Saccharomyces cerevisiae S288C: one gene and its partner. The gene in region 2 interacts genetically with the main gene of each other region. Each region holds a gene or a part of one and is shown on either strand. Other genes may lie near its edges.

Region 1 (2,896 bases), on a different chromosome or scaffold from region 2:
ATTATTCAGGGGAGGTGAGCCAACATGGTGGTTAGATTGTAGTTGTCCAACTGATGATGAAATGCGTTGCATAGCAAAGGCGTTTGGTATCCATCCATTGACTGCAGAAGATATCAGAATGCAAGAAACACGTGAAAAGGTGGAACTTTTCAAATCGTATTACTTCGTTTGTTTCCATACCTTTGAAAATGATAAAGAATCAGAGGATTTCCTGGAACCTATTAACGTTTACATTGTTGTCTGTAGGTCAGGTGTTTTAACATTCCATTTTGGCCCAATATCTCATTGTGCTAATGTCAGAAGGCGTGTAAGACAGTTACGTGACTATGTCAATGTCAATTCAGATTGGTTATGTTATGCTTTAATCGATGACATTACTGATAGTTTCGCTCCTGTAATTCAATCTATTGAATATGAAGCAGATGCAATCGAAGATTCTGTGTTCATGGCTCGTGACATGGATTTTGCAGCAATGTTACAAAGAATTGGTGAAAGTAGGCGTAAGACAATGACGTTGATGAGACTTCTTAGTGGTAAGGCTGATGTTATCAAAATGTTTGCCAAAAGATGCCAAGATGAAGCTAATGGTATTGGACCGGCACTAACATCTCAAATAAATATTGCTAACTTACAGGCAAGGCAGGATAACGCCAGTCATATCAAAAATAATAGTTCGACAACTGTACCAAATAATTATGCGCCCACCACATCACAACCGAGGGGGGATATCGCCCTATACTTGGGTGATATTCAAGATCATTTGTTGACAATGTTTCAAAATTTGCTGGCGTACGAAAAAATTTTTTCTAGATCCCATACAAACTACTTAGCTCAACTGCAAGTGGAATCATTTAATTCTAATAATAAAGTGACAGAAATGTTGGGTAAAGTCACCATGATAGGTACAATGCTAGTTCCATTAAATGTTATCACTGGTCTTTTCGGTATGAATGTTAAAGTTCCGGGGGAGAATTCCAGTATCGCGTGGTGGTTTGGGATATTGGGTGTGCTGCTTTTGCTGGCCGTCCTTGGTTGGTTCTTGGCCAGCTATTGGATTAAAAGAATAGACCCTCCTGCAACACTTAACGAGGCCGCTGAAAGTGGAGCCAAATCGGTTATTTCGAGCTTCTTGCCAAAAAGAAACAAGAGATTCAATGATCGTTCCAAAAATATAAATGTAAGAGCCGGTCCTTCAAACAAATCAGTTGCAAGTCTTCCTAGTAGATATAGCCGCTACGACTGATTAGTGATGTGATAAAGATAGAAGATTTAAGTCACAGAGGCGTGCATCTACGATTTTGGCGTTTCACATTTTTTACACTTAAATTTTAGTGATCTAGCCGTGACCTTGGCAGCAGTTTCCAAAATCATTCCATGACCATGTCATGCTTAAGAACGTTAGACCCAGAACAAGTGGACCTGTATTCTAACTCTTCACTCTTGGGCAAAGATAATAGTATTATCTTTTACCCCATTTTTTGTATGTTTTTTCGTTTATTGAGTTTGGCGTTTCCTATTTAGAAATAGTACAATCCGGTCAATCATTCGATAGTGAAATATATATATTTAACTAGGAAAATTAGTAAAACCTCATTTAAAGATCATTCACCTTGATATATACTACTATTGACCTTTTGTTAATGACCATTTTCGTAAAAATGAACTGCGATTCTCTTCTGGAATTTGTTACCCTACCTTATTCACTAAATCAGAAATAATAATGTGCAGCGCCCCTTTCATAAAGAAGGCAAGTATAGGGCATATAGTTAAAGGTCAGAACTCTTTATCCCCAACTACAAGATCAATTAGAAAATCACATCATCATGGAGGCAGATGATCATGTTAGCTTATTTCGCTTCCCCTTCAAGATTCCCACCTTTCGTGGTATAAGAAAAGGTGGGGTCTATCTTTCAGGTGCTCTCTATGCTCTAGGCTTTTGGATATTTCTAGACGCAGTGCTCTATTCTAGATATTCCAATGCATCAGATGTTCATGTTACGTTCATTGACTGGATTCCTTTTCTTTGCAGCACACTGGGAACATTGATTGTGAATTCTATTGAAAAGAATAGATTATTGCAGGGAGCTTTATCGTCAGATGGTGGTGCCTTCGGTAGTGGTGTAGGCGATTTAGATTCAAGCATGGCATGGCAAGCTCGAACCGTTTTATTTTTTGGCTTTGCTTTATTAGCTGGTGGGCTATCAGGCTCCATTGTCGTGTTGATCATCAAATTTTTAGTCAAGGATTACAATACCTATCCAACTTTGGGGATGGGAGTAAACAATGTGTTGGGGAATGTATGCATATTATTGAGTTGCGTTGTTTTATGGATAGCCCAAAATGTTGAAGATGAATATTCATATTCTTTGACGCTCTAAGTTAAGTTGACCAATATTTTCGAGGCCAATTAAGGCGATCTGATTTAGATAAAAAACGTATATATGTATTTATCAACACTTTTTCGAAAACAAAAAGATTTTTAGATAGGAGTATGTACATTCCAATATATTTGTAATGTTTCACATAAAAGGACAGTCTGAGAAAAAATGCAAGTAATGTGGTAAGAAGGAAACATAAGATGACGGCAAATGCAAAAATGAGGTAAGAATCAGCAACTAATCCAGAGATGGCACAATCAAGTTGTAATACTCTCCAAGAGCCCTTTTCTCCGATGCACTAAAATTAAAGAGGTCTGGTAGGTGAACCGGCATACTCGAACCTCTTGGCAAAAAATAGGTTTCATTTCTTAACGCGTCAAAAAATTCGTGAGCCATCAATTGTCTAGCATCGCACCTTTCAGTGGCATCATACGTCAACACCTTTAGCAAGAATTCCACATCAAAAAATTCTATAGAGGGAAACCAATGCATAAACTTCTTGAATTTTTGGTCATTTA
Region 2 (4,597 bases):
TGTTCATTATGACTATTACAAAGCCAGGAATGATTTCGATGGCCGACATGAATTACGTCGTTTCCAAGAACAGAAGCTTAAACCGTCCTGCTGAGCGGGGCGGTAATCGGTGACCAGGCAGCCTATAAAATGAAGTTGACAACCGAGTAGGCTATCACGTATGCATGGAACGTATATTTTAGCGTGACCAATGCTGAATGATGATAGTCTATAGCTGAAAATATTATCCAATAATATCAGAAAAAGAAAACTCACCAGCACCAGTGCATCCAATCTGTATTCTGTTAGTATTCCTGATACAGTTATTTCCCTCGTTATGGCTCATTCAGACGCCAAAAAGAGCATAGAGTTAGACAACATTGGAGGGAGTAGCTCAGTTACTGTTGACAGTGGCTTTCACTAATAAAAGCCATTGCAATATGATAATGACTAGCAGAAATTTAAATATTAACAGGATTCTTCTTGGATGAGAAACGTACATAATTTCGCAAAAAAGAAAAAAATATTTACTGCTATAAATCCTGTCATCAACAATAGTTTTCTTCCTTGCCAACGTCCTTTAGCACAAATCTCGTAGGTTCTATGCTTAACAGAGCGTCAACAGAAGCGGGTATCGGCTCGACGTGAATAATGGAGATTGTTACATCCATGTGCCGCTCTACCCATTTCATTTCTACGCCTCAATAAAATGTATGAAAAATGAAAAGATGTAAAACAAAACAACAGTTCCGTAACCGCGGAAAGTTGCGTCTCGTAAAAGGAATGAAAAACTCATATACATTCACCAGATATGTTCTATGAAACTCGAAAGCTTCCATCAATTCACACTAAGCTACACGGCTCCTAATAAGCACTGTAATTCCATCAAATGACAGCGTGACTTCTTGAGTAGTGTAGAACCACTCGTCCCACTAAATCACAGCCCTTAATCCGTGCACAGTGAGTTAAAATATGACTTTATTCATGTAAAACGAAATTTCATCATATACTCGATCTTTGTTCTGCTGTTCTTGAGATGTAAATTACGTGAATTCCTCCGGTTAACACCTTCAGAGTCGCATGGTCAGTCAAAAATTCCACGTCTTATCACCGTGGTCTATTCCAACCTTGTAATATAACCAACACATCGATTTTCGGTACATGGGTGTTTGAGATTTATCCTCATTTGACACATGTACCTGAAACTAATCTTTTCTATCCGGGGCTCCGTGGGAAACGTAACCCGAATTCAAATTCCGCCGAGGCCCCTTTTTTATTTTAGCTCACTCACTGGGTACGGAAGCAGATAGAGCTCTGGATACCCGGAAATCAGCAACACCCAGAGACCTTGGCACGGGAATAAGATGCAGTACCGAATGATCCGGGTCCCACAACTAAGTCAAAAGAAAAAAAGAGAGAATTATTTTGCTGCGGTTTTTCGTTACCTATGCTAACTGTTTCCTCCATACCCCTCCACGCCGTTTTCTCTAATACTGTCCCCATTATCTTTTTGCGAACTTTCTTTCGGCTGCTTCCGGCCAGTTTCTCCCCCATGCAACCCCCTGCGCAAAGGAACAGATCTGCTCTTGATCAAGTAAGAAAATGTGGGGGGCAGGCATCTTGAAAAATTCTCTAAAATTTGCATGTATTCTGTTTTCCGCCAAGGGATAGAGCAAGTGGAAGACGTAGTTGAAGGACTTTTCGTAATATATACAGGCATGCTATTTATTTATTTTGTTGGTGCTTTCTTGGTAAATTGCAAAAACTGTTAGTGAAGTTTCTTTGTAACTTTGGCACTAGTTGTTACACAGGCAGTAACACTAAGCACTATTTTTTTACGTTGTTTTCGCAGACAGCAGAAGAGATAAACGGACCTATTCAGAAAATGTCCTCCAGCATCTTTGAAATGACAATAGACCACGACGGTATGGATAGTACGGGGCTGAAGCTTTCACAGACAGCCTCATCCATATCCATGGGCGACGAGTTTCTTTGTTCCAGTACTACTAGTAATTCTATTCTGGATTCTCCGCTTCCGAAAGTGACTTTTAACCATATCGATAGCATAACAGACATTAACACAAACATCATGAACGAAATAGTGGAGCCACAATCCGGAGTAGATGTTGATGTTGCTGACAAAAACGTGCTTTACTGCATAGATCCGTACCCAGTGGAACCTCCGTGTTATGATTTTGCGAATCCGTCTAAAGTCATTAGGTACCCTATATATGAGCATTGTCGTCCGTGCCTCACTTCTGTGAAACCTCCCAGTTATACACCGTCTGTAGAACACTATACTGTGGTTTCTATGAAGATGGAAAAACTATCGCCCTTTGAAAATGCTTCTTCTCGATTATGGAACAACTTTATTCTTCAAATAAACTCTACGCAGATAAACTTTTATTCTATTGACGATTCATTAACCAGGCATATTAAAAACTATCGTGGTGGTGACATGTTTGACCATTCCCACCATTCCAAAACTGCTAGCGATCGCCATCATTCGGCTCGGTCGTTATTAAATGCGTTCACGACGAAATCCACTTACCAATTCGATAAATATGACAAGGAAAGGATATGCGGGGAAATAGCACGAGACGAGCACAAATTTTTATCAGATGAGCGCCTCTTTAAGAGTTACTCCCTGCAATGTGCCAAAGTTGGTCTGCCTATAGATTATTCCTCTAGAGATTTTGTTTTAAGAATGCGTTGTGAGGGACAACAGTTTCTAGTGCAGTTTTCTCATGTAGACGAATTGATCTATTGGGCTATGTATTTGAACATGGGTATATCCCTGTCCTTGGATCTGGAATTGAGGGAAATGCCCACCTATAGAAGCGTTCCCAGAAGGAGACATCCGAGGGCAAGAAGATTTAAGCAACACAATAAGAACAAAAACAAAAACAAGAGCAGACAAAATAGTGATAGAAATGATTCTCGCTCCCACTCTTTACTTTTAAGAAGATCACACACCTCTTCTGTTGTAACAAAAGTGGCCACCGGCAACGAACGTCCGACAAACAAATCAAGATCAAGAAGTTTAAGCTTGCTACCTCCCTCTGTATCCGATGCGAGTCATGACTCCAATGGGCCCAATGACTCTGGTTCATTGGCAGGGGAGAGTTCTCAAACTGATTTTTGTGGCTTATTTACATCAAAACTAAGAAATTTCTTTAAAACAGATTCCAGTTCGAGAAAAAACTCTAATATGGACATTGGACAAAAAATGAGATCGAAGGAACTGAATAGTGTTCAAGAAGAAATCGATGACAATGGTAGTACTACTAATACCAATACTTCTGTTCTATCTTCCACTTTTTCTCCCACAGCACATTCTGTTTTAACGGCACAAACATCCATCCATGAAAACTTCAGAAGTAGATCGAATTCCAACCCTATAGATCCTTTGCGCTGTGATCGGTCAGTGTTGAAAATTAATAATTTTGAACCGGTATACGAGGGAACAGGAAGGTCAACTATTTCGAATTCTGCTGAGCGTACGAATCGTGAAGAAAAGTTAAACCGTGGCAATGAAGATGTAAATGGAGATGAAGATGATGACGAAGACGAAGACGATGCTAATTACGAAGAGGATGATGAAGATGGATATGTTGAGGATGATGACATCAATAGATTGGTATATTTGGATGAAAGAGAATCTCGCTATGAGAATGCGGACGTTGAGTACGGTACAATATTCAGTACGAAAAGCTTTTCCGTGACTGGTTGTTTAAATCATGATTTTCCAAAGAAATTGTCACTAAAATGTGGAAATAAGAATCAATCCAGTAACGATTCGAAGTGGGCACCGGCGACACAACTAGTTTCAAGGAAAAGATATATCAAAGACTCATTAAGATGCATCAAACCGTTAACGGAAGACCACCCATGGGTAGGTAAGATTATTTTCAAACCGGCACTGCCACCAGCATTCGAAACGAATAATCCACCTATAAGAGTTTATAGTGGTGAAGATAGTACGGACTTGATGCACGTGAAAAACCATTATTTAAAGCCATACATAGTGGGATCCTGCGGGTTTTTGAAAACTGGCTCAAAACTTTTTCACTTTTACGATAGAACTAACGACCTTACGAATTTATGAAATATATGTGTTTTTAATGATTAAATAATAGTCAAAAATATAATTAAAAAAAAAATCGAATGTAATGGGTGGTTCATCTTTCATTTCCTGCGGAGGGAAAGGCGTATCAGAAAAGAAAAACATGAAAAAATCTGTTAAAGTGATAACTACAAATACATATGTATAAAAGTATGAAAAAGTATGGAAAGGGTGAGCTAATGATGAGAGAATTGGAATAAATTAGTTTGCCAGCAACACGTAATAAATGAAAGGGTAGATATTGATTTGACCTCTTGGTTGTCGTCAAAAATTAAGCGATAACACAGGCGGGATCCCAGAAGAGGCCCTTGATTATATAGTTGTCTTTCTTTTCAGAGGATTTATCCTTCTGAGTGGCTTGTGTGGAAGCAGTGGTGATCGGTTGCATTAAGGTTGGTAGTTATTGTTGTATGAAGATGATAGCTCGCTGGTGTCTCTAGTGATGTCAATGAACGGATGAACGACAGAAGAAGTGGATGGAAATAAAATGGT

Evidence for each region.
Region 1: mutations in MPF1 (region 2) and VPS68 together harm fitness more than expected from each alone (negative genetic interaction), as found in Saccharomyces cerevisiae (one large-scale study listed by BioGRID).

Annotation. Positions count from the first base shown.
Region 1 is NC_001147.6:75,737-78,632, forward strand, and holds VPS68 (Vps68p), read left to right. Parts: upstream 1-1,823; coding exon 1,824-2,378; downstream 2,379-2,896. Other genes in the region: Mg(2+) transporter ALR1, read left to right, coding at 1-1,243; serine/threonine protein kinase YGK3, read right to left, coding at 2,616-2,896. UniProt on the Saccharomyces cerevisiae protein: Involved in vacuolar protein sorting.
Region 2 is NC_001146.8:352,310-356,906, reverse strand, and holds MPF1 (Mpf1p), read left to right. Parts: upstream 1-1,864; coding exon 1,865-4,087; downstream 4,088-4,597. Other genes in the region: YNL143C (uncharacterized protein), read left to right, coding at 1-113; MFA2 (mating pheromone a), read right to left, coding at 4,377-4,493.